Linked DNA regions of Cricetulus griseus. The protein of the gene in region 1 interacts with the protein of each later gene in a pairwise test. Links are inferred from orthologs where the notes say so. Each region holds a gene or a part of one and is shown in the gene's direction. Other genes may lie near its edges. The genes, in order: Creb3, Ptdss1, Lat, Ndufb6, P4ha2, Stx7 and Cacfd1.

The links.
Region 2: the proteins of Creb3 (region 1) and Ptdss1 interact in a two-hybrid assay, tested with the Homo sapiens proteins (2 studies listed by BioGRID and IntAct). The two-hybrid records come from large-scale screens. The link is inferred for Cricetulus griseus from reciprocal best matches to the Homo sapiens genes CREB3 and PTDSS1.
Region 3: the proteins of Creb3 (region 1) and Lat interact in a two-hybrid assay, tested with the Homo sapiens proteins (2 studies listed by BioGRID and IntAct). The two-hybrid records come from large-scale screens. The link is inferred for Cricetulus griseus from reciprocal best matches to the Homo sapiens genes CREB3 and LAT.
Region 4: the proteins of Creb3 (region 1) and Ndufb6 interact in a two-hybrid assay, tested with the Homo sapiens proteins (2 studies listed by BioGRID and IntAct). The two-hybrid records come from large-scale screens. The link is inferred for Cricetulus griseus from reciprocal best matches to the Homo sapiens genes CREB3 and NDUFB6.
Region 5: the proteins of Creb3 (region 1) and P4ha2 interact in a two-hybrid assay, tested with the Homo sapiens proteins (2 studies listed by BioGRID and IntAct). The two-hybrid records come from large-scale screens. The link is inferred for Cricetulus griseus from reciprocal best matches to the Homo sapiens genes CREB3 and P4HA2.
Region 6: the proteins of Creb3 (region 1) and Stx7 interact in a two-hybrid assay, tested with the Homo sapiens proteins (2 studies listed by BioGRID and IntAct). The two-hybrid records come from large-scale screens. The link is inferred for Cricetulus griseus from reciprocal best matches to the Homo sapiens genes CREB3 and STX7.
Region 7: the proteins of Creb3 (region 1) and Cacfd1 interact in a two-hybrid assay, tested with the Homo sapiens proteins (2 studies listed by BioGRID and IntAct). The two-hybrid records come from large-scale screens. The link is inferred for Cricetulus griseus from reciprocal best matches to the Homo sapiens genes CREB3 and CACFD1.

The regions. Positions count from the first base shown.
Region 1 is NC_048595.1:99,950,819-99,953,571, reverse strand, and holds the end of Creb3 (cyclic AMP-responsive element-binding protein 3), read left to right. Parts: intron 1-65; coding exon 66-172; intron 173-265; coding exon 266-334; intron 335-1,384; coding exon 1,385-1,469; intron 1,470-1,556; coding exon 1,557-1,641; intron 1,642-1,725; coding exon 1,726-2,054; 3' UTR 2,055-2,253; downstream 2,254-2,753. Other genes in the region: Gba2 (non-lysosomal glucosylceramidase), read right to left, coding at 2,453-2,731. UniProt on the Homo sapiens protein: Endoplasmic reticulum (ER)-bound sequence-specific transcription factor that directly binds DNA and activates transcription. Plays a role in the unfolded protein response (UPR), promoting cell survival versus ER stress-induced apoptotic cell death.
Region 2 is NC_048603.1:17,741,794-17,745,293, reverse strand, and holds part of Ptdss1 (phosphatidylserine synthase 1), read left to right. Parts: intron 1-1,099; coding exon 1,100-1,241; intron 1,242-3,031; coding exon 3,032-3,144; intron 3,145-3,500. UniProt on the Homo sapiens protein: Catalyzes a base-exchange reaction in which the polar head group of phosphatidylethanolamine (PE) or phosphatidylcholine (PC) is replaced by L-serine. Catalyzes mainly the conversion of phosphatidylcholine.
Region 3 is NC_048596.1:74,437,913-74,442,096, forward strand, and holds the start of Lat (linker for activation of T-cells family member 1), read left to right. Parts: upstream 1-1,384; 5' UTR 1,385-2,064; coding exon 2,065-2,167; intron 2,168-2,369; coding exon 2,370-2,397; coding exon of another isoform or gene 2,398-2,503; coding exon 2,504-2,538; intron 2,539-2,755; coding exon 2,756-2,843; intron 2,844-2,982; coding exon 2,983-3,047; intron 3,048-3,130; coding exon 3,131-3,160; intron 3,161-3,245; coding exon 3,246-3,309; intron 3,310-3,378; coding exon 3,379-3,473; intron 3,474-4,184. Other genes in the region: Spns1 (protein spinster homolog 1), read left to right, coding at 19-117, 409-580, 917-1,011. UniProt on the Homo sapiens protein: Required for TCR (T-cell antigen receptor)- and pre-TCR-mediated signaling, both in mature T-cells and during their development.
Region 4 is NC_048595.1:102,275,121-102,279,334, forward strand, and holds the start of Ndufb6 (NADH dehydrogenase [ubiquinone] 1 beta subcomplex subunit 6), read left to right. Parts: upstream 1-1,414; 5' UTR 1,415-1,533; coding exon 1,534-1,713; intron 1,714-3,794; coding exon 3,795-3,887; intron 3,888-4,214.
Region 5 is NC_048600.1:68,293,680-68,297,012, forward strand, and holds part of P4ha2 (prolyl 4-hydroxylase subunit alpha-2), read left to right. Parts: intron 1-141; coding exon 142-241; intron 242-969; coding exon 970-1,023; intron 1,024-1,435; coding exon 1,436-1,495; intron 1,496-1,543; coding exon 1,544-1,609; intron 1,610-3,333. UniProt on the Homo sapiens protein: Catalyzes the post-translational formation of 4-hydroxyproline in -Xaa-Pro-Gly- sequences in collagens and other proteins.
Region 6 is NC_048595.1:243,395,353-243,398,852, forward strand, and holds part of Stx7 (syntaxin-7), read left to right. Parts: intron 1-38; coding exon 39-111; intron 112-878; coding exon 879-961; intron 962-3,213; coding exon 3,214-3,306; 3' UTR 3,307-3,500. UniProt on the Homo sapiens protein: May be involved in protein trafficking from the plasma membrane to the early endosome (EE) as well as in homotypic fusion of endocytic organelles. Mediates the endocytic trafficking from early endosomes to late endosomes and lysosomes.
Region 7 is NC_048599.1:138,693,550-138,697,049, forward strand, and holds part of Cacfd1 (calcium channel flower homolog), read left to right. Parts: intron 1-45; coding exon 46-118; intron 119-1,471; coding exon 1,472-1,597; intron 1,598-3,500. UniProt on the Homo sapiens protein: Transmembrane protein which mediates synaptic endocytosis and fitness-based cell culling.

The DNA.
Region 1 (2,753 bases):
ATATATATGTATGGGTATATAAAAAATAATACACCTTGGATGACCTTTTTCCCATCTTCTCTTAGGTGGAGGAACAGGTTCTCAAACGGATACGGAGAAAGATTCGAAACAAGAGAGCTGCTCAAGAAAGCCGCAAGAAGAAGAAGGTGTATGTGGGAGGGTTGGAGAGCAGGTAGGAAAGGAAGAGCATGGGGAACAAGTTGGAAGCCTTAAGCTTTTGAAGGGAAGACACAGGCAATATTTTGATATCCATGTTATCCTCCAGGGTCTTGAAATACACAGCCCAGAACCAGGAGCTGCAGAACAAAATACGAATTCTAGAGGAACAGAATCTGTAAGCAACCATTTATAGTCATTAATTTTTAAAATCTTTTTAATGATTTTTTACTTTTATGTGCATTGGTGTTTTGACAGCATGTATGTCTGTGTGTTTGTCGGGTTCTCTGGAACTGGAGTTACAGACAGTTGTGAGCCGCCATGTGGGTGCTGGGAAATGAACCTGTGTCCTCTGCAAGAGCAGTCAGTGCTCTTAACCACTGAACTATCTCTCCAGTCCTGTCATTAGTTTAATGCTGTCTCACTCTTTCCACTATTCCACCCTTGACTTCTAACTGGATTGCTCCTAAATTCAAAAATCTGGTGGTTGGCCTTTGCCAGGTCTCAAGCTCAGAGTAATGGGGAATAAATTTCCAAGTAGCTAAGAAGAAATTAAGTACCAAGACAAAGAGGAAGTAAGAAAAGACTGAATGGAGGGGCTGGAGAGATGGCTCAGAGGTTAAGAGCACTGACTGCTCTTCTAGAGGTTCTGAGTTCAATTCCCAGCAACCACAAGGTGGCCCACAACCATCTATTATGAGATCTGGTGCCCTCTTCTGGTGTGCAGATATACACGGAAGCAGAATGCTGTATACATAATAAATAAATAAAATCTTAAAAAAAAAAAAAAGAAAAAGACTGAATGGAGGTAGTCAACATCAGAGCAGTTGCAATGGGGGTAGGAGGGGCTGAGTGGGGAAAGCATTCTAGGTGGAGAGAAGACAGTGTTTGTGTTTGCGTTGGCCCAGAAAGTAGAGAACACAGTACCTGGTGGGGATTACATGCATAGTTGATCACGTATTAAGAGAATTCTGGAAGGTATTGGCAAAGGAGCTTTAGTCAAGGCAGGGAAGTTTTTATTTTTTGTTTCAATAAGGAACCACAGGTCCACAAAGAAGTCATTTGGGGGGGGAGGGGGGATGGCAAGGAAGTTAAGAGATTGGATCCACTGCACCAGTGGAGAGAGTGGCTTAAATGGGGGTGGGGAGGAGGGTGGTAGGGTGAGTTTCATTGTGACTCAGTGCTAGACCAGGGCATGCTCACCACTGTTTCCTCTCTCTTCCCTTAGGTCCCTTCTAGATCAACTGAAGAAACTTCAGGCCATGGTTATTGAGATAGCAAACAAAACCAGCAGCGGCAGCACGTGTGTTCTGGTGAGGAGAATGGGACGGCAGATCATTTTCTTGGCAGAGATGGGGTGTATGACCCAGAGCCCTTCATCTCTTTTTTCCGTGTTCTAGGTCCTACTGTTTTCTTTCTGCCTTCTTCTTGTACCTGCTATGTACTCCTCTGACACAAGGGGGAGTGTGCCAGCTGAGTATGTTGGTAAGAGGCTGAGGACCTTTAAGGCATGGGCTGTGGTAAAGGGTGGCTTCTGTCTTGTCACTTGACAAGGCTTTGTCTCTTCAGTGTTGCACCGTCAGCTTCGTGCCCTTCCCAGTGAGGACTGTCATCAGGAGAAGCTGCCTGCCCAGCGGTCAAAGTCACTGAAGGACAGCACAAGCCAGCTGCTGGGTAGCTCAGAGCAGATGCTCCAGGCCTCCAGCAACGCTTCCTGCCTCCTACACTGCATGCCTCAGGCAGAGCCACCCCTGCACTGGACATTCCTTGATCTTTCCTCAGAGACCCCCTTCTCAGGCCCCAACCATCCCCTGAAGGCAAATCTTTCAAAGAAAGGGGAGTGGCTGCCTACCCACAGCCCTTCTTCTGTTGTCTTGCTGGGCAGGCATTCATGTTAGATTTGAGATGCGGGGTACCCTCAGCCTGAGGATTCCTGTCAGTATTCAAATAAAAAGGAATGGGGGAAAGAGCTGGCCTCTGCTCCTGTGCCCTATTAGGATGCCTGGGAGCTCAAACACACCATACTTAACAGTTTTATGGTCTTTTATTTATACTCATGTATATCTGTTGTTCCATGAATAGACTTGGAGAAATTTACTGGCCTTGAATATTTCATCCACGGAAGGAACGGGGAGGGTAAGAAATAAATAAGTGGTTCCTTGGCCCCTTTTTACTGGCACAGTTGGGTAGCAAGAAGGGAAGGGGCTTGATTGTCCTAGTGGCTCAGGGCTGCAGGAGTGGTGGGAGGGAGGAGGAAAGACCAGTGTATTGGCTGGGCTTCCACAGTTCAGGGGGATCACTCTGGGCTTAGGTTTGTCCAAGATTTCTTTGGTTCATGTTCAGGCTCTGTGCTTAGTCTTGTGCCCTGTGTGACAACTGGCCTTTTGCCCTTTTTATGCTGCTGCTGTTGCAGGGCCAGCTGCATGGCCCAGATGCTCAGCGGCCTCATGTAGGCTAGTGAGCGGAACACTTGCTGCTGGCAGTATGCCTCTGGGGTCTGGAAAGCCAGGCCCAGGCGTTCCCATACAGTGCGGTAACAGCCCTCAGCTGTCCGGAAACCTTCCCGAGTCAGACCCTGTGGGGAGAGGTAGAAGTCA
Region 2 (3,500 bases), on another chromosome or scaffold:
ATTTTTTTTCTCAGGCTAGCTTATAAAGTCAGCAGAGCAGGATATGGGGAGGGGTAGAATGGGTTGTTTGTGAGCCAGGTGTTAGTGTAGGCAGGATATTAGGAAGCCACAAAGAGGATGTTTGGCAGGATAAAGAGTTCATGAGTAAGAGGTCCAGGAAGGGGTTGCCTAGGTGAGTGAGCCTGTGGGTGGAGGACTGGGTCAAGTTGTTTCTTTTCTTGAGCTGAGGTTCTAAGGAGCTGCTATGTAAAGGTTAATATACAACTATGTGGCCAGCCAAGAATGGCCTAGGATCTCCTGCCAAGCCCTGAGATTTGGCTCCCAACACCTCCTTATGCTGGGAAGACACATAAGGAATGTGGATGAAGGGCCTGACCTGCTTTGCCACTGTCTTCTACCTCTCTCCTTCTGGAAGGAAAGGTCTGGAAATTTGTTATCTATGTCATTGACACTGAGCATCCAGTCTAAACACAAAAGTCCTCAGTAAAAAACCTCTGTGGAATTATACTACCCACCAGGTGTTTAAATGGCTTGGGTTTCGGCTTAACTGGGCTAGTCGGAGGGCTGGCAGACCTTGTTCCTGTGTTGACAAAGCTGATCTACACCATCTTTGAACCTAAATCTATTCACATGCAAGATAGATTGTTGATGACAGGAGTCATTTGAATGTGTGATTCCCAGGATTAAACTCATGAAGAGTTAGACATCACTGTTACCACAAACTCTGGGGAGAAATAAATGACTTTGGTGAGCTCAAGAACATGAAACATGAGCCCTTTTATAATGACACCCTCTGGGGAGACAGAATGGGAGGGAATAGTATCCTTGCCCCATGTACATTCTTCCTGGGTGCTTCCAGGTCATATCTTTAATTCCTGTTAACTTCTTTTGACACCCTTCACAAACTTAGCCCCCTCTTAGCTCAGCAGCACCCTGAAGCCCCCCTCCCCCCAGCTTCCAGTATACTCCTGTGACCTAGGCTTCCACTAGGAAGGGTCCACTCCATTCTGAGGAGTTGCTAGAATATCGTCAGTGCAGTTTTTCCTTTTTCCCTCTTTGTTACCCCTGGATTTTCACGGTTTCCATTCTTTTCTTCCAGGGACATCCATACCACCACAGGGAAGATCAAACGTGCTGTGTTACAGTTCACCCCTGCTAGCTGGACTTACGTCAGGTGGTTTGACCCTAAGTCTTCCTTTCAGAGAGTGGCTGGGGTATACCTTTTCATGATCATCTGGCAGGTAATGCCCATTCTAAGGGGTGGGTGGGGGCAAAACATGATTCTTCCTGGAGGCTAGAATTAATGGTAGATTACATTTCACGTCAGCTGGACACTTTGGAAGAGAATTTGTAGCTGGCATATAGGGTAATGAAAATCTAGGTTACTGTCTGAGGAGTTGCTTCAGTGTGGAGACATTTTAAAACTGGATTCTCTGAATTACAAATTAGGAACTGATTTCCTGGGAAAGGTCATATTTAGCACCCATCACCCAGTGAAGTAGGTGTAACACTGTTTTGAAGAATATTTTCAAAACCAAAGGAAATATGTGAAGGTTCTTTTTTTTTTTAAATTTAATTTGTAATTTTAGTTTTTGCAGTGCAGGGTATAGAATTCATAGTGTCCAGAGAATGTCCTGGAACTCATCCTCAACAGATGCTGGGGAAGTTGTTTATAAAATTGAGACAATAAGTGGGTTGGCATTGAGTTTTGTCTTTTCCTTAATTAGAAGGAAGCATGACCGGGTTTTCTAGGGTCTTGCACCCTGAATACTTTCTTATATTCCTAATTCACTCTCTGGTATACAAAATTGTATCTCAGCCTTCCCCAGTTTGTATAATGTTCAGAAAGCTTTCTCAGCTGTGGAAATGGGACCCATGGATTATGTGAATCTTGTAGAAAATTGGGGGAGAGAAGCATTCCAGGTAGAAGAAATCTCAGTAGTCACTGGGGAAGGATTCTCATATCTCTGGTTTTGGAGACAGACTTTTTGTTTTGTTTTGTTTTCTTCCTGTCCCCAGGGGTTGTCACAGCTTCTGGAGACTCACCATGGGAAAACACATGTTGCTTAAAAGTTCTTGCAGAATCATCAAACATAAAGTTTTATGACCTTCCTACGTTCACTGTATTGAACATGTGCATACACCACACATAAAATAAGAATATAAATAAACGGTAATTTCAAAAAGTTAAAATATGGTGGGAAAGGTCAGTGCATATCACTTTTAAGAGTGAAAAATCTTGTTCACACATGGAAAGCAATTCCTTTCCTGATAGACAGAGTTTATATTTACAGAAGTACAAGGGAGTAAATCACTACTGTGGTTTGCAGAAGTCACTCTGCCTCCTTACTTGTGAGGTCCGTATCTGAAGATTCAACCAACCACAAATAAGAATACTCTCAAAAAAAAAAAAAAATCCTTACAAAGTGGGAGTGGCGGCACACACGTATAATCCTGGCACTCAGGAGAGTGAGACAAGAGGGTTTAATGCAAGTTCAGTACCAGGTCAGCCAGCACTGCAGAGCAAGACCCTGTCTCAAAACGCCGCCGGCAAAAGTTCTGTCTCTGCCCTGAACACACACACTACATGCCTCTGGTAGTCAGTTCTCAGATGGACCTCAAACATCTTTAGGTCAGTTGCTGATCTGTCTATAGTTGGGCTTTAGACTGGCCTGAGCTCCATAAGGCTATAGAAGTACTGATTTGTACCATCTGTCCTGACTGTCCCACATCAGGTCACAGAGAGGAGCCAAGGGACAGAAATGCAAAACAGGAAATGTTTCAAATAGCTGATGACCTTCCCACCACTCCAGTCATATATACACACGCACACACACGCACAGCGACCTGCTCCCAGTTGGTCAGTAGCTATGTATTGTCTGTTACTACTTTATCAATCCCTGGGAGACCCCATATGTTTTCTGAGAATGCTTTGGACATACTGGTTACTCTTAGCTCTAGAAAGCCTGTTTAAGGAATGTATGCTCATGATGTAATGTGGCACAGGGTGACTGGTTTCTCTTTTCTTCAGTTGACTGAGCTGAATACCTTCTTCTTGAAGCACATCTTTGTTTTCCAAGCCAGCCACCCCTTAAGCTGGTGTAGAATTCTCTTCATCGGCTGCATTACAGCTCCTACAGTGAGGTAATTCTGTCCAGCCCCGCTGCCAATTGCTGAAGAAGTGTGCTTGCTTTGTGTTTTCATCCCTAACATAAGGGCTGTCACATCAACTAACAGATTTTCTGTGAAAATGTTATTCTAAGTAACTGTCCAGAATATCAAGAATGTGTTTTGATCTGAGACCTCAGTACAACAGTGAGAGTTTTTAAAAGAAAGCAGTCACTTAGTGGCGTTCCCCTAGAACTACCCTTGTTTTCAACAACTATGCAGTCTGTCCCTGCTCGTCTTCTTACATCCTGTTACAAAATATTAAAGGTGACACTAGGTTTCCTAAAATGAGATTATTGGTAAGTAGAAAAGTCTGTGTGCAAAATATATTA
Region 3 (4,184 bases), on another chromosome or scaffold:
ATCTCCCCTTCCCCCCAGTATGTGGTGATCCCAACTCGACGCTCCACTGCTGAGGCCTTCCAGATCGTGCTGTCCCATTTGCTAGGTGATGCTGGGAGCCCTTACCTCATTGGTCTAGTGAGTACTGTCCCGTGATTGGGCTGGGATGGTATCGGGACCTGGTACTCCCTACTCTGGCAGATGGCTGGTGGATGGGATAGTCTGACCTACTGAGGCAATAGCCACCTGTGGCTCTTTCACCCTTAGCGCCTCTGGTGGTTGGGAAGGAAGCTGGGTAAAGGTTTTACCTGTGGGGCTGTGGGTCTCACCCTGTGATTCAAACCATTCCTCTTTCTAGGCTCCATTTTTCATTTTCTTGGTGTTCAGGCCTCTCCGTCCCTGGGTCTCTGACTCTTTTTGTCCTAGCAGATTTCTGACCGCCTCCGACGGAGCTGGCCTGCTTCCTTCTTGTCTGAGTTCCGGGCCCTGCAGTTCTCGCTCATGCTCTGCGCTTTTGTTGGTGCACTGGGTGGTGCGGCCTTCCTGGGCACTGCCATGTTCATTGAGGATGACCGCCGACGGGCTCAACTCCACATGCAGGGTCAGTGAGGGCCACTGTCACCCCATATTCACAGTATCACCTGTCAGTCTGTCCATCTGTTGGCTCACAGGTATGCGCCCCACATCTCTTAGTCCACAGCTGTCCCATCCACCCAGGCCCATGCTGCCAGCCACCTGCCAGGGTTGATAGTACCAGCTTCCCAGTACCATCCCACTCAGCTTTCAGTCTGTCTTAAAGTGTATCATCAGGCTTTCTGTCTATACACAGTTCTGAGGACTCTTGCTGCTGTCTCGTCTATGCCCCTCTGCCTGTTTGTCTCCTGTCCCCTTGATGGCTTTTATGTGACTGGCCTTGGCTCCGACCCCTTCCCCACAGGTCTGTTGCATGAGACAGGACCCTCAGATGACCGGATTGTGGTGCCTCAGCGAGGCCGTTCTACCCGGGTCCCTGTGTCCAGCGTGCTCATCTGAGGAGCTGTTGCTCACCCAGCCACAGGTTCACCACAGCTGGCCCTGGGCCCACCCTGGGAGGTGCCCAGGCAGAAGCCATCACCAGGTCCAGGTCCAAGGAAGAAGCCCTGGGATATGTCCCAGCTCCCAAACACTACATGGGCAGCCCAGGGAAGAGATGGGGTTCCAGAAGTGGGGGTTGTCCTGTCTATTAGGGCAGCCCAAGGGGTTTGGTGCTATTTGTAATGGAATAAAATTTGTAAGCAGACTATGACTGGCTGCTTGTCTCTCTGCGGGTGCCATTGGCTTCAGGGAATGTCTGTGGTCTCAGGACTTACTTACCAGGGGCAGTCGGGTCACCCTGTGGGTAAGTCCCTGTCTTCTGCGCTTGGGCCATCTAGAAGGAGGACTGCTCTTTTCTGAGTGAGTTGGTTCGGTGTGACCGTGAGTCACTGTGGTCCCCTGGAAGTTGTTCTCCCAGAAGCAAGCCTGGGAGGTGGAGGCAGTGCTGCCCTTGTTCCACACAGTCCCTGGCAGAACCTCATTAGAGTTCTTGTGCTCAGAGATGGGGAGGCCACAGCTGGCCTGGTTGGCATGTGTCTGCCTTCCTAGTGGAGCAGTTGCCTCATCCTGCAGCCTCAGACCTTTCCTTCACAAGGTCCCTCTGCCTCCTCCCCCTTCCCACAGCTGGGTGGGGGTGAGTGGGCAGGGGGCAGGCGCAGCCGGCTGAGGAGCCTGATGATTTCCTGCCCTCACCACAGCTTCCTGTCGCACGCGGGTGGTGAGGAGGAGAGGCAGGCAAGCGGGGAGCAAGAAAGGGGCAGGTACAGCTGGGCACAGGGATCGTGCTGCTGGTAGCTGGGGCACAGGCCCCAGCTCAGGCTTTAGGACTAGCCTCTTCCAGCACTGAGCTCAACTCAGTCTAGCAAGGAAGTGGGGGTCATTGAACCCCAAAGGAGGACACAGCTGCTTGCCACTGGATCCCAGGCTGGGGCCCACTCAGTCCCACACCCCTGCTGCCACTCTGCCTAGAGGGGCTGCAGTGCAGCAGGGCCTGGGCCAGGTGCTCTGCAGATGGAAGCAGACACTCTGAGCCCCATGGGGCTGGGCCTCCTGCTGCTGCCTGTCCTGGTCACGCTCCTGGCTGCCCTGTGTGTGCGCTGCCGTGAGCTGCCAGGTAAGTGGGGAGCTGTGGAGTACTAGATGCTAGGCACACCATTGGATCCCCATGCCTTCCCCAGCCCCCGGCTTCCTCTAATTGTCCATACTTCAGTCCTGCCTGGGGGGGACGGGACGGGACGGGACGGGACGGGACGGGATGGGACTGTCTTTGCTCCCAGTGCATTCTGATCCTGCCTCATTGGCTCTCTCTCTTCCAGTCTCCTATGACAGTGCTTCCACAGAGAGGTGAGTGTGCAGTCCCATTTCCCTGTGTGTCTTCCCTTTGTTCTGATGAAGGGCTTGGGGCTGGGGCCCTCTTGGCCCTGTACCTAAGCTGCCTCTTTCCTGCCAGTTTTTATCCACGGAGCATCCTCATCAAACCATCTCGTGAGTTCAGTGTCCTTGGCCTTCTTTGAGGGTTCTTGGGAGTGTGCCTTTGTCCCGCTAAGATGCCTGCAGGACTATTGCCTGGGTTGGGGGAAAGTTGGAGCCCCCATGCCTGTTTAGCACATGTTTTTTAGGGGTACATCTGTCCTTAGAGGCCTTGTCACCCGCAGGGGGGTTGTCTGGAGTAATTCCCTCAAGCTTGGTTCTATGTCCTCAGAAACAGGCTTCCCCCGAACAACTGCCACTTCCTATCCTCTTGTTACTTCCTTCCCACCCCTGAGGCAGCCAGACCTGCTCCCCATTCCGTGAGTACCCCTCAGCTCCCTCCCTCTGATCCATTGTGCCTCCTTACCTTTTAGGATGGGGGGGTGGCTTTTTCCCTGTTGTAACCCCTCTTGCCCCCAGATTCCTACTTAGACCTGGTCCCTGACCCTTGACTTCCAGGAGATCCCCACAGCCCCTTGGAGGTTCCCATCAGATGCCGTCTTCCCGGCAGGATTCGGATGATGGTAAGGGCGTACAGGGCTGGAGGGCTGGGGAGAGGGTGTGCAGCCTCAGCTGACTCCATCTTCCTCTCCCTCTCTCTTTGAAGCCAACAGTGTGGCGAGCTACGAGAACCAGGGTGGGTCTAGGGTCTGGGGTACTGGGTGGGGTGGGGAGGCTGGGTCTATCCCAGGTCACGTTGACTTCTCTCTCATTCCTCATAGAGCCAGCCTGTGAGAATGCGGCTGAAGATGAAGATGAGGATGACTACCCCAATGAGGGCTACCTGTGAGTGGGGGGTGGGAGGTGGGAGTGGAAGTTGGTGCCCTTTCTTACCTCCTCATCCCTTCCTTCCAGAGAGGTGCTTCCTGACAGCACCCCTGCCGCCATTCCTGTCGTCTCCTCTGCTCCCGTGCCCAGCAACCCTGGTCTCCGAGACAGCGCCTTCTCCAGTGAGTTAGGGTCTCTGACTACCTCCTTCCGCCATGTGCCGCCGGCTATGCCTCTCTTCCCTCTCATTTCTGCGATCGCCACCCTTCCATTTCCTCCCTCAGATCTTGGACTTCCTGCTCCTCACTTCTGATCACCTTGCTTTTCCTTTTGCCTTCCCTCCCTCTTTGTCTTATCATTTTATCTGTTGTCTAAGAAATTCCCTGACTCTTCTTTAACCTTTCCACTGAAATCGTATTTCTCAGCTGGATGTGTAGGCATGCGCCTTTAACCCTGGCACGAGGGATCTAGGTAGGAGGGTTGGCTTTGAGGCTAGCCTGGACAATACAGTGAGACCCTGTCTCAAAAACCAAAACAGCACTACCACAAACAAAAAGAAAAGAAAAATTCTTTTCTTTTGTCGGAAAACTCTTTTTTGGGGAGGGAGAGGGACGATTCTTGGTGTTCTTTTTTATTTATTTATTTATTTATTTTTGGTTTTTCGAGACAGGGTTTCCCTGTGGCTTTGGAGGCTGTCCTGGAACTAGCTCTTGTAGACCAGGCTGGTCGCGAACTCACAGTGATCCACCTGCCTCTGCCTCCCGAGTGCTGGGATTAAAGGCGTGCGCCACCACTGCCCAGCTTGGTGTCCTTTTTATTAAGTACCCTGTTCTTGTTTCATGGAAGTGATATCGTCTAATGTATCTGTAAGGTCTTTGGTTGGAGGTTGTTTC
Region 4 (4,214 bases), about 2.3 Mb from region 1:
ATATTTAGTATCACTACTACTCACCTTGCTTTTGGATAAAAGGTAGCATACCATATACTCTTCTTTCTAATGGGTGTAGGTGCTTTCATTTATTTATTTGCCTTAACAACAGATTGTAGGGGTCACTCCACAGTTGTGAATAGAGAGCTTAGCTATACAATGGCTGTAGCATTCCAGTGCTTTACAGTACCATAAGGTTTTCCACTAATCCCCTATTGAGGAATCTGGGAGGTGATTTCCAAGGTTTTACAAATTGTGTCATGGTGAATATTCATGCATACCCCTGCAAATTTTTACAATCATATCTTTGGGACATCTTACAAGTGGGACTGTTGGATCAAAGAGTGAACGGGCCTAGGTAATACTCCCAAATAAAGCGTTCTTTGTTTCAGCAGTACAGACGAGGGAGGAAACTTAAATACTTGCTCAAGATCACTTTGAGGGGTTACAAAAGGGCTAGGAGCTGAACTTGTTTTTTTTTTTAATTTCTTTTGTTTAAATTTAAATTAGAAACAAGCTTCTTTTACATGTTAATCTCAGTTCCCTCTCCCTCCCCTCTTCCCCTGCCCTATCCCAACCCTTCTTCAAAGTCTGTAGGAGCTGAATTTGTATGCCATTGTCTCTAGGTAAGGAAGGGGGAGAATTCAAGGGGGCGGGGCAGAAGTTCTATAAACATGCACTAGTCCTTCCGAACCCCTCCCCTGTTGATATCCTGGCTTCTCCCTCTCCCCGGGTCCATGTCAGGCCTCTCCTGGCCTGAGCCTTCTCCTTAGGGAACCTTTCCTGGTCGCAGGGCCTCTCTAATCCTAGGGTTTTCTCCCCGCCCCGGGATTGCTCTTCTCCAGGAGACCTTCCCTCACTCCAGGATCTATCTTTGACAGGTGATCATTCCTCACTGACAGCTCAAAGGCTGTCAAAGGTTGCATGGCTGCATAGTGCATGTGTTAAGCAGCTGCATAAGGACTTCTGCATGCAGAGCTGGGTCAACTGCAGCTCCATGACTCCAGTTTCAACGGCCCCAACTGCTGAGCCTCATTCTAACCCTCTCCCTTTCCCTTTTTAAGCAAGTGCCTCCCGCCTGTCCTCTTTCCTTCCATTTCTGTTCCCGATCGGTTAACACCTACCCCTCCCTTCGCTCCCTTTCCCATTAAACTCCATGTGGGTTTGGTGGATCGTGTTTCATCGCCGGAAGCTGCAGCAAAGAACAACATCCCCTACAAGTTCTTTCTTCCCTGAACTAAAGCCCCAGGACCTCTCATACTTTCTATACCACACCCACTTCCCGCCCTGAGGGACCTTCAAAAAAACTTGCTCTTAATCCGGGGTCTTTAGAACCAGGGTCGGCGAAAGGGCTTTTGCGCATGTGCAGATCCTGACTTCCGGGAAGGAGTCCCCCGACTCCCCAGCCGTGTTTGGGTGTGACGTCATCACAACGCGCGGTCCCAGGTGCCTTCAAGGTCGCTTCGAGGAGCGCGTAAGTGACCGGCGGGTTTCAGGTGCACGCCGAGTCTCTTCGGCAGGCTCGCCGGGGACATGACGGGGTACACACCGGATGAGAAGCTGCGGCTGCAGCAGCTGCGGGTGCTGAGAAGGCAATGGCTGAAGGACCAGGAACTGAGCCCCCGGGAGCCCGTGTTGCCACCGCGCAAGACGTGGCCCCTGGAGACATTCTGGAATAACTTTCTGCGGGACGGGGCCCTGTGGAAGAAAGTGGTGAGTGATGAGCCACACAGGCTCAGTTCCCACGCCGGGTCGCAGCCCGGCCACCCTCCCACTCCGCGGCTCCTCTCAGTGCCATCAGGGCCCGACCCTCCCAGTTCATGCCCCGGAGGGCCCTCAGGGACAGTCAGTCCGGGGACTCAGGTTTGCAGAGACTGTCACATTAGGAGAGTCCTGGGTAGGGATCTGGAGTCTGGGAGTGGGTTGGTTTTAGGGGGGATGGTCCCGTTTGGCTGTCAGGTGTACTGAGAAGTCAGACCTTAGGTTTTAAACTCATGTGGTTCTTTGGATTGTAGATACCTTGTTAATTTTGGCAGTCACTGGTTGATAACTTAGCTAGTGATTTAAGAAATGAATCATTTGTTGAATTTTGTCTTACCTTGCTTTGAATGATTAATTTTTTCTTCTATAATTATCTGCTATAATACATAAATTCTAGGTTGTCTTTCTTCTGAAAGGATGTGTTTTAGTCAAATTGGATGCCATAGAAAAGCCCCCCCCCACCCCAACAGTGGAGTAATGTTTATCCCTAGAGCACAAATGGACTTTGGGAGCCCATTCCCTATGGAGGGATACTACTGTAGCCCAGATACAGGAAGGAGGGCCTGGGTCCTCCCCCAAATGATGTGACAGACTTTGGAGGGCCTCACTATCCCTGGGGAGGGGTTGGGGTGGGTTGGGGAGTTGGTGGGGAGCATGGGAGGATGGGAGGGCAAGGGAATGGGGGGATGGATATACAAATAAGAGTGCTTCTAAAAGGAAAAAAGAAAAAAAAATTCCACTACAAAAAAAAGAAAGGAAGGAAGGAAGGAAGGAAGGAAGAAAGAAAAGAAAAGCTCCCCTCCCCTTTTTTGTCTGTTGACTTTACTTTTAAAAAGGTGTACCAGGAGAGAGTTCAGTGAGTTTAGAACACCCATGTTTTAGTAAGAAGCCTCACTTTTTTCTTGAACATGAATGCCGTATATCTTGCAGAATGCTATTTATCCTAAACCTTGTCTTGAAGTCTTGCAGAATGTTTCTTATCCTAAGTCTCATTCTCTGGAGTCTATGGATGTCCCAAAGGAAGTCTCAGAGGTAGTGAAAATATTGGAGTAAGTAGTTTAGCACCAATTTGTCAGGAAATACGTTCCATTTAGAAGTTTGTAAAGTAATTATCACACTCTTTGTTGGTGGTAGGATTTTTTTTGGGGGGTTGGTTTTGCTTTTTGTTCCACACACATTGAAAAATGAGGTATCTTATGCTAGTATAGCAAGTAGCACATGCTGGTAATCACAGCAACTCCAGAGATTGAGTAAGGACTGCTGCTGAGTGTTCAAGGTCGGGCTGGGCTACATGGTGAGCCAAGTCAGCCTTGGCTAAAGAGAGGAACCCTGTGCTGTTATTTTGTTTAAGTTTAAAAATATTTTTTTAAAAAAGGCGCAAGACGAGATGTGACAATGAGAGATGCATTAACCATAGTTTATTACAGGTGGGGGAGGGGGAAAGATGAGAGAGAGAGAGAGAGAGAGAGAGAGAGAGAGAGAGAGAGAGAGGTAGAAGAGGAAGAGAGAGAGAGCAGGGAAGAGGTAAGAGACAGTAAAGAGAAGAGAGAGAAGAGAGTTAGTGGTCGACCACCAGAAACAGAGAGAGTGGAGAGATGTGGGCTCAGGCTTAAAAGGGGGAGCTCGAGCATGAGCAGAGTCCCTACGAAGCCCTGTAATTAATGACATATCCATGACGTGGCCCTTTGAGCTGCCTAGGTATCTGCCTGAACCTTTCATTCTGTCTCAAAATAAATTAATAAAAAGTAAAAATGAGGGGTGGATGAGATAGAGAGATGACTCAGTACTTAAGACCACTTGGCTTTTGCAGAGGACCCAATTTGGGTTCCCAGCACCCACAGGGTGGCTGAAAACTTGTCTATAATTCTAGTTCCGGGAGATCCAATGCTTGGTTCTGTCTGATCTCCAAGAGCACCAGGCACACTCATGGCACACATGCATACATGCAGACAAAACACTAATATACATAAATAAATCCAAAATTTTAAAAGAGGATATTTGCTTATTTTGTGTGCTGTGTTTTCCCCCCACAGATCTTTAAGACATACCGGGCCAGTCTCTTCACTGTTTCTCATGTAATTATACCTCTGTGGTTTATTCACTATTACGTCAAATATCACGTAGCTGTAAGTATGTGGTAAATGTGTGCTTTTCAGAATTTGTTTTTAATATCTTACAATAATTTCCTGTGGCTGTGCTCTACTCAGGGGATAATACGCCAATTTAAGCCAATTTTGAAGTTTTTTGGATTCTTTGGGGTAAAAGGTTTAATGGAACTTAAGTACACATATACAACTAGTTTCAAAACTTGAAATTCTAAAGGTTACTCTTATGTACAACTAGTTTCTAACTTGATATGGTCAGAGTGTCTAAACCTAGAGTCCTGGCAGGAGGTGGGAAGATGATTTCTGCTGCCCTTTTAGCACAGGTCAGGTATGGCCTATCATTCAAAA
Region 5 (3,333 bases), on another chromosome or scaffold:
CTGCTTGCCCCACCTCCTCTCTCCGCAGCATTTACCCCGTGCTCCCCATTAGTGGTGGCCTTGACTGGGAAGGGATCCTAGGACTTAATCTCAGCCTGCCCATTGCCCATGCCTTTCACCTTTGCTCTCTTCTCTGCTCAGCTCCTGGCTAGAGGAGGATGATGACCCTGTTGTGGCCCGAGTCAACCGTCGGATGCAGCATATCACAGGGTTGACAGTGAAGACTGCAGAACTATTGCAGGTAGGCTGGTCCCTGGGGCCAGAGGAGTTGGGTGGGGTTCTGTAGGGCTAGGTGGTCTCCCAAGGTTCCCAGGCTGTCTGAGAAGGCTCACCTACTCCATTAGTTACTCTTCTAATCAGATGATCATCCAAAAGAAGCAAATTGATGGAGGAGAGTTCTGCTTTGGTTCACAGTTTCAGTCCATCATGGCGGGGATGCTTGGCAGCAGGAGCTTGCAACACAGCTTGTTCACATCTTGCTGGATCAGAAACTAGAGGGCTGGGGCTGGCCAGGACCAACAGCAGACAAAAATTAGGCCCACACTCAGTGGCCTAATTATGCTGGCTAGGTCCCAAAGATTCCACCCTCCAAAAACAGTACCACCATCTCCGGAGTGAGTGTGTACTCGCATGAGCCTTGAGTTCACATTCCCACCATCCACACAAAAAGCTGAGTGTGGCTAACCATCTTACTGCCACCCCAGCATTTTGGAGAGCATCCACGGCTTGCTGGGTGACAGCTTAACTCCAGGTTAATTTTCTCAAGGGAATAAGGTAGAACGTGATAGAACAGGACACATAGCACCCTTCTCTGGCCTCTGCACAGGCGTGTGCACACACCACCATACACATATACCACATACACATACTACACACATACAGAGGTTGGGGGTTGTCTTCAGGCCTAGGAGAGTCGGGCTGCTGTGGGGCGTTGCTGCTGGCGAATTCAATGCTGTAATCTCTCACCAGGTCGCAAACTATGGAATGGGAGGGCAGTACGAACCACACTTTGACTTCTCTAGGGTAAGGCCCCAATCACGAGTATTTTTGGAGGGCTGTGTCTGGTTTGAGAAGGTTGGAGCTTCTAGAAGCATTTCAGCTAGCTCCATGTCATCCCTCTTCCATCTACCACCTCGAAAGGGAGAAACTCTGTTGTTGATGAAGCAGAGCCCAGTGGAGCCTGGTTGTTTCCTGTTGATGTGGGGTGTGTTTGACCCACTAATAAGGCAAAAGATCTCTCTAGGGCCCTGTGAAAACTTTTCTGGCCTCATTCCCCCTCCCTGTGTTCTTGCCGGGGTTCCCTTTGTAGCCTTGTCCCATGTTCCTGCTATTCTACAGAAGGCACACTTACCATCCCCTGACTCTTTTGGTCCCAGTCCTTTGGGTGGCGGGTAAGTTAGTTGCAAACTTAGATAAAAGTTGTTGTCTGTTACAGCGACCTTTTGACAGCGGCCTCAAAACGGAGGGGAATAGGTTAGCCACGTTTCTTAACTATGTAAGTACTGGGCTGGGCCCATTCGTTCACTCTCACTTAATTTTATAGAGCGATGAGCAAGATGCTTTCAAGCGTTTAGGGACTGGGAATCGTGTGGCCACATTCCTAAACTACGTGAGTATGATGCGTGCGCCTGATGGGCCCTGCGGAGACCCTGGGGCCAGAGAGCTCCTGTGCATCCCACCCCATCCGGGCTCAGAGCATCAGCTGCTGCATAGTGGTTCCTCAGGGCTCTTCTTGGCTAGAGTATAGAGTTGGCTTTTGTTCCCATCTGTGTGCTTGCCCTTCTCCTACCTCCTAACTCTTTCACACTCCCCACAACATTTTTTTTTTAGCTGTGGTAAAATATACATAATATAAAAATTGCCATTATAACAATTTTCTGTGTGCTTCAGTGATTATTTATTAAATCCATCCCCAATGTGAACCACTTACCATCTGTTCCCATAACTCTTCTCACCTCATAAAATGGAAACTCTATTTATATTGGACATTAATTCCAGAGTCCCTTTCTCACCACTACCCTGCCGAGACCACATAACCTCATCAAAGTGGAGTCCTGGAGTGTCCGTCTGTCCTTCTTGTTGGCTGATTCCCTTAGCCCCTATCTTTAACAAGTGTCTGTTGTGGCGTGTTCTGCTTCCTTTTTGATGGATGCAGGTCTACTCTGAGCTTTGGGAATGAGAGCCACGGTGGGCTCTGACCCAGGGGCAGAATGCGCTTTTAGATTGAAACTGCCTCTATTTCCTCAGAGGCTGGGTAGCCAGCCAGCTTCCCTCCTGATGCCCCCCACCCCCATCCATAGGCTGTCCCTTTACCCTTCCCCACTGTGATAGCCTACTCCAAGGAACCATAGTCAAGGAACTTAGAAACTAAGCTTGTTTTTTTTTTTTCCTCCTTAACTTTTAATTATCCTGGAGACTGCTATGTACATACACTGCTAAATAGGGTCCTATGTGGTCTCCATTGTGACATGGGAGACTCACTTAAAGCATGGGAGAGATTGTTATTTAGTTACCATGGAGACAAACACCGAAGAATTTGCCCAGACATGGGGTTCAGTAAGGCCTCATTTAGGAAATAGCATGTCAGTTGAGACTTGAAAATTAAATGGAAATTTGTGGAACATACTTTGGCAAAGAAGGTGTGTGGGGGCCTGGAAGGGACAAGTTTGGAATGTCAGGAAACAGGCAAAGGTTAGTGTATCTGGAGAGAGAGGCGAGTGAGACTGACTGACTTGGAGAGTCACTGGGTTTGAATGCCAGCACTAGGGAAGACACTGGGTTTATTCATTTTCCTTATCATGAGCCTGCTGAGTGCCCCTTCAGTCAGGCTGGTATGTGTCGTATTGGGAAACGTCTTAGCTATAGATAGTTCTTATTACCCTATAGGCCATTTTTATTATAGCATAGACAAACAAAACACTTCAAATAAGAGTGCAATTTAGTTTCAGAGAAAGCAGGGCAGAGTAGCATTCTGGGAAGGTGGAGGTCGGATTAGAGCAGGTAGAGCCAGAAAAATGGCCACCCAGGGAAGACGGTACTCCTGAGGTTGGAAGCTACAGGGAGCTCCTATCCAGCACTCTGTGCACAGTACAGAGTGCTGACCATAGGGGCCTAGGCAAGGCCCAGGCTGTGGGTGAGAATTCAAGATGGGGTCAAGATAGGCGTTTTCTTCTTTCTTTCTTTTTTTTTTGATATGTATTTATATGTATGAGTGTTTGCCTTCATATGTGTATGCATATATGTTGTAAGTACCATGTGCATGCCTAGTGCCCACAGAGGCCAGAAGAGGGCTTTGATCACCTGGAACTGGAGTTACAGGTGGTTGTAAGGCAC
Region 6 (3,500 bases), about 140 Mb from region 1:
TTTCTAATAATGTATAATGTGTGCTTTTTTGGTCCTAGGCTGATATTTTGGACATTAATGAAATCTTTAAAGACTTGGGAATGATGATTCATGAGCAAGGAGATGTGATTGGTAAGTCCTGCTGGTGTGTTCTGGGCAGTAGGAGCAAGTTTCCTGCAGTTTACCTGCAGCAGCTCTTTCAAGCAAGAAACCACTTCCTTTCTGTTTCATTGGGATCCTCTGAAATCAAAGGCATAGCGTCTACAGTTTGCTGTGAAGGCCTGTGGGTCCTGGGTGGGGACTACACTTCACGGCAGTTAGGTTAATGAAAACAGAATACAATTATCAAATTCTTACTGTGAAGTTGTCCACTGTCCCATGCAAAGTAGGTAAAGCACTGTGTTTATGTGAATCATTTGAAGTGTGTTGTATTTAACAGAATCAAATACAAAGCCGAGGAACACTAAGAACTAACAGGGTAGTTTGAGTAAATAAACGTACAAAGGACTGGATGTGTTTGGACCCCTCCTTGGTCCTGAGGAGAGTGTTCTTTGAGAAGTGTTCTTTGAGGTAGACTTTTTCTATGTGATGTCGAATGTCTTTGGGCCTAGGGAGAAGAGGGTTGATGTGTTTTGCACATTGGTCTTGAGGCAGTGCAAGCTCTGGGGTTAGAAACTGACAGGAGCTTGTGCTGACACTGATCTGACATTTGCAAATTGACAGCACTTTTGTTGTGTCCAGTAGATGTAGATATGATTAAGGCCATTTGCTTATGCATTTGTATATTATCTGGATTGCGTGTTTTCCTTACATGTCTGCTGAATGAATTTTGGTGGTTTATAATTGGCTCATCAGTTCATGTTTAACAATTCTATGTGTATGTGCATTTTATTTTAAAGACAGCATAGAAGCCAATGTAGAAAGTGCAGAGGTACACGTTCAACAGGCGAACCAGCAGCTGTCAAGAGCAGCAGATTATCAGGTAACATTAACTGTAATCCGTTTTCTTTTAACTTAGAGTTTTGACTTGAAGTGGTTGCATAGGCTGACTTTAGAATTCTGTGGGAGGGGAGGATCAGAAGCATGCCAGTCAATTTAAAATTGGTTTGGGCATGTGTATTCTCATATTAATCTACAGAGATAGGAAATCATGAAGCTTGCAAGAGACTACTACTCCACACTTTTCCTGTTGTGGGAAGCAAGCATCACAGAAGGCAGGAAAACCATCCAGGTGAGGTACAAATAAAACTTGGGTCAGCACAGCTTAGCCGGTGCTGGATCAAAAACTTCTGGAGTCTGATATTCCAGAAGTTTTCACGTACTTAAACACAGTAAAACTTTGGAAAAAAAATTTCCATGTGGGAATTATTACACCAAAGCTTCAGGCATGGCTACATCAAAGTACATCTCTTTAGCAAAGCACCTGTGACCTTCACACAAGAATGAGTTCTATTGACTGGGAAGCAGTGCTCAGGAGTCTGGGCATAGGGAGGAAGGGTTTTTTTTTCTTTTCATTATTATTATTATTATTATTATTATTATTATTATTATTATTATTAATTCAAGTTAGGGAACAGGCTTGTTTCACATGTACTTCCCCTCTCCCTCTCCCTCCCCTCACCCCCATTCCTTCTACCCCACCTCCAACCTACCCCCTCCACCCCATCCACCCGCCACTCCCCAGGCAGGGTAGGGCCCCCAACCGGGGCTCCACCAAATCCACCAAATCTTCCTGTGCTGGGCCTAGGCCCCTCCCCATGTGTCCAGAGACAGAGCGCATCCCTTCAAGTGGGATGGGCTCTCGAAGTCCCCCCCACCCACCAGGGCAAAACGCCAGTCCACCTCCAGAGGCTCCCAGGAGTGCAGGGGCCTCCCCATTGGCATCCATGATCAGGGGGCTGGATCAGTCCCGTACTGGCCTCCCAAAGAGCGTCTGGGGTTGAGGGAGGAAGGGTTTGTGATACACATAAAGATGGGTTCTATTGACTGACAGACGTTGCTCAGAATTCTGGATGATTCGATGAGGGCCGGCTTTGCAGAATAGCAAAGATGACCAACTATTGACATATCCATTCCCATCTTTCCGGAGGGAAAACAGTGTCAGTTTCTTCCATCGAAGGAAAAAAAATATGTGAATTTAACAATTGAGGTTTTTCTAGTGCTGTCTGTAAACTGTGCTCCCTCTGTCCCATGGTGGTCTCTGGTGGGACAGTGATAGCCCGACATACGGAGAGACCTGTTTGGTAGCCTTTCGAAAGCCCTCGTTTCCCATCCTCCCCTTTTTCTTTTTCTTTTTCTTTTTGATTTTTTTTGTTTGTTTTTATTTTTGAGACTGTTTCTTTATGTAGCCCTGGCTATCCTGGAACTTGCTCTGTAGACCTGCAAATACTTCTCCGACCTCCACACTTGTACCATGACACATGTAACCCTACCAATCAATCAATCAGTTTACCAATCAATCTGCTTCTCTCTCTCTTTTTTTTTTTTAAGATTTTTTTATTCATGTGTACAGTATTCTGTCTGCATGTATGCCTCCAGGCCAGAAGAGGGCACCAGATCTCATTACGGATGGTTGTGAGCCACCATGTGGTTTCTGGGAATTGAACTCAGGACCTCTGGAAGAGCAGTCAGTGCTCTTAACCTCTGAGCCATCTCTCCAGCCCCTTATTTTTGATTTTTAAGACAGTTTCTCTATGTAGCCCTGGCTGTCCTGAAACTCACTGTGTAGACCAGGCTGACCTTGAACTCAGAGATCCACCTGCTTCTGCATCCCAAATGCTGGCATTAAAGGTGTGTGCCCCCACTGCCCTACTCACCGCTTTTCTTTCTTATCAGTGGTACTCCAGCCTGAAGTGACAAAGGACCTTGTACTAGGGAGGTCTCTTCAAAGTTTCTGGAAACTGTATTAGCTGGGAGTGTCATTAATCATTACATACTATGTCATCATGTGGTAGAGACCTTACAATAGATATAAATCTATTTCTCCAGGGAATCAATCTCGTGAACATGCAGAGTCCATATGTATCTATGAAATGCAACTCATGCTTCAGATACTAGACAGATGTCATGGCTGTCAACTGTTAATGACGCATGTGCTGTAGAGGTTTTTAAGAAGAAAAATCGCAAGCCCAAATACAAGGGCTGCAAACTGACTGAAGTGAACTTGAGTTGCTTTCAGCTGCTGTGGAGTCACCTCACTGAATGTGCCACTCTATCTTGTTCTTGCTTCTGCAGCGCAAATCCAGAAAAACCCTCTGCATCATCATTCTTGTCCTCGTCGTTGGACTTGTGATTATCTGTCTCATCGTATGGGGACTGAAAGGCTGAGTGGTGAGAGTGGACCGCTGCACGACGTCGTCTGGGTTCTGTAGGCAGATTCTCGAGGTCACTTTCTATTGTTATTTTAAAGGCAGTGGTGTAAAGGATGGTCCCATACTTTGTCATTTTTATTGGGGGAAGGAGGTTCTTTTGAATTCGATCTGATATTTTCTAATACTGAAGGTTTTTCTAAATACCATTGC
Region 7 (3,500 bases), on another chromosome or scaffold:
TAATCCATACTCCACTAACTCCTGCCCATGTCTTTTGCTTTGAAGCCTGTGCCATCTCTGGACTCTTCAACTGTGTCACCATCCACCCTCTGAATATCGCAGCCGGTGTGTGGATGATGTGAGTATCTGTGAATGGCCTGCCCTGGTGGGGTTTGAGGTCTGTGATGCAGGGCACATCCCCCTTTCTGCTCCCGCCACATTTAGGGTTCCTAATAATGGGCCAGGGGGACAGCTGGCTGAGCCTTTATTGGGTACAAGGTCATAAGAGTTGTTGAGCATCTATCCAGCTAGACGCTGTAGACTCCTTGTCTACTACCATGGGCTGTTCCTTCTGGGAGCTCCAGAGCCATGGTGTGTAAGGTCAGAGTTGAGGGTCTAAGAGGAGAGAAGAGGGTGGTCATCTGTGGGGCGGTGAGCAGGGCTAGTTGGGGGGGGGGGGGCAGATGCAGATGGAACTAGTGGCTGTAGCATCCATAGGTGAGCTCCTTATCACCCTCTTCTGGCAGCTGGATCCCAGGAAAAGGGGCACCAGAGTAAGGGCTGCTCAAGGCACATGGGAAGCACTGTGCATTAGCATTTGTTAGTGCCTACAAGGGGCTACACAGGCATTTGGGGCAGGGTACAGGTCCTGCCTTAGGCCTCAGGCCAGGGTGATTTTGGTCTTGTGGTGATGTGTACAGAGGCCTGTGCTGGTCCAAGGTGGCAAGGATGGGGACTGTAGAGGTTGTGTACAGATTAGTGGAACAGTGAGCTGGTATTTGGAAGACTGGTGGCCGTGGTGGGTGGGGAGGTAGGCAGTAGTCTAGAGTTACAAGAGCTGTGTCTGTTAATCAAACTGTTATAGGCACTTTCCTTCCAAATGTGGGGCTGGCAAAGGCCCAGTTGTCTGGTCAGACAATTACCCACCTATGGGAGCAAAGGCATTCAGCACCAGCAACTTATCTGTTCCCAGCAACTGGGCAAGGATTGAAGTCTCCTGAGTGGAAGCTCCACTATCGTGCATCTTTCTGCCTGACCCACATGGTCTCAGGCCTTATGTCATGAGTGGTCCTTAGCAACTGGATGCAGCCAGCCCTTGCACTTCTGCTGGAGCACCCTGCCCTCAATGGTAGTGTTGTGACTATGAAGATATTATTAACAATTGGCATTGTGACTAAGTTCTGCGGATGAACATGCTGCTAGCTCAAGATAACATTGAGGTGCAAGGGTCTTAGTTCTTCATTTCAGAGTTAGCAGGATCTTCCTCCTGGATGCTTGGGCAGTTAGAGATGCTGCTGCAGCAGTGGGGTGGGGTGGGGGGGTGGGGGGGTGGGGTGTTGAGCTGCTTGGCAGAAACTGGTACCTTGTACTGCCTAGTGCTTACAGAAGCAGAGGGCCTGTGGGAGGGTGGTGTTCCTTGAGCCACTAGCATGATGGCTTTTGCAGCCCCAGGTTGTCAACTATCATTGTCCTTTCTGCCTTTGCCCTGTAGCATGAACGCCTTCATCCTATTGTTATGCGAGGCGCCCTTCTGCTGCCAGTTCGTGGAGTTTGCAAATACAGTAGCTGAGAAGGTGGACCGGCTACGCTCCTGGCAGAAAGCTGTTTTCTACTGCGGGTGAGGGCTGCTGGGCCAGCCCTATGGCATGGTTCTCCAAACTTTTACTGGTTAAAGCAGGTATTGGTAGGGTGGGTGGGGCAGAAACAGGTAGAGGTCTTTCTTTCCTGCAGAAGTTTTTTGTTGTTGTTGTTTTTGGTTTTTGTTTTTTTGAGATGGGATTTCTCTGTGTAGCTTTGGAACCTATCCTGGAACTAGCTCTTGTAGACCAGGGTGGTCTCAAACTCACAGAGATCTGCCTGCTTCTGCCTCCCGAGTGCTGGGATTAAAGGCGTGCGCCACCAACGCCCAGCTCCTGCAGAAATTTTTATTTGACAGCTGTGGACACAGCCACTGGCCCATCCAACATCAGTTGCTAAAGAATGGGACCCAATATCTGCCTTCTGGAGCTCAGATGGCAGCTACGGCTATACAAGTGTTTTAAGATCTGTAGTGTCTGCAGCAGTATGTGTGTAGGGGAACAGGGAAGCAGCTGGGATTTGCCAGACAGGTTGTAGTACATCTGTGTGGACATTGTGCAGCCTTGAAAGGAGTGTGGCCAACCTAGATGCCCAGACATGAGCTTGCAGAACAGAAAACACCATTTTCCTCTAAATATGCTTTTTCTCCTTCTGGTTCTGACAAGTTCAGTGTGTCATAAGACTGCGTCACTTCCAAGATAAATTGAATACACAGAAGCCTCTAGAGAAGGGCTTTTGCACGAGAACTCATCTAGGCAATGATATTTATCACAATTTATCTTTAAGATCAGGTTATATCAAAGCTTGGTGGAGGCTCAGCAGCTTCATCAGTGAAAATATACAAGAGTCTGTCATGTGCTTGCTGGCAGTTTTCTGATGTGTCTGAGTCCAACGGGCTTACAGGATCACAAAGTTCTAATCAGTCAGTGTAGCATGTTTTGTGTGTATGCACACATGCGAACATGTGCATGCGAACATGTATGTGGGTGCACATGAATGTGGAAGCCAGATTTGGACATCAGGTATTTCCCTCAGATAACTTCCATTTGTTTTTAAAGATAGGGTCTCTCACTGAACCTGGAGCTCATCAATTTGGCTGGACTGCCTGGCCAGTGAGCTCTTAGGAATCCACCTGTCTCTACCTCACCAGCCCCGATGTACTTGGGTTTTTATGGGGATCCAAACAGGCTCTCAGGAATGTGCAGTAGGCACCTTCCCAACTAAGCCATGTCCTCATCCCTTCCTTTTTCCCCTTTTGTATTTGAAATGCGCTCATTTTGTAGATCTGGATGGCCTTAAGCTCACAGAGATTCATCTGTCTCTGCCGCCTGAGTGCTGGGATTAAAGGCGTGAGTCACCATACCTGGCTTTCTTTGAGTTTTTAAGATGTATCATCATGATGCTGACAGTAAAGTCATTTGTAAAGTAGAAAATGATCACTCCAGACCTCACTACCTATTCATGTTTTTGGCATATGTCTCTCCAGTCTGAATCCAGACACTTTGAAGCTCATCTTTAACATGCTTATAACTGCCAAACCTGCTTATAAAGTTTGAACCTGCTTTTTTGACTTGCTGTGGTATCATTTTCAGTATTACCAGAAAGACTATGGCATTCCTTTTAATGTTTTGTTTTTAAAAAACAGTTCTTTTCTCTTTTTTTTCTTATTATGCATAGTGTTCCTCCTGCATATATGACTGCACGCCAGAAGAGGGCACCGTTCTTATTACAGATGGCTGTGAGCCACCATGTGGTTGCTGGGAATTGAACTTAGGACCACTGTAAGAGCAGACAGTGCTCCTAACCACTGAGCCATCTCTCCAGTCCCATTCCTTTTAATGTTAAACACATTTAATCAGCTGGACATACTTCCTTTGTCTTAATTTGTTAGCTAATGTCAATCAGGTCTGGTGAACATCTGTCTGCTAAAGCTACCATGATGC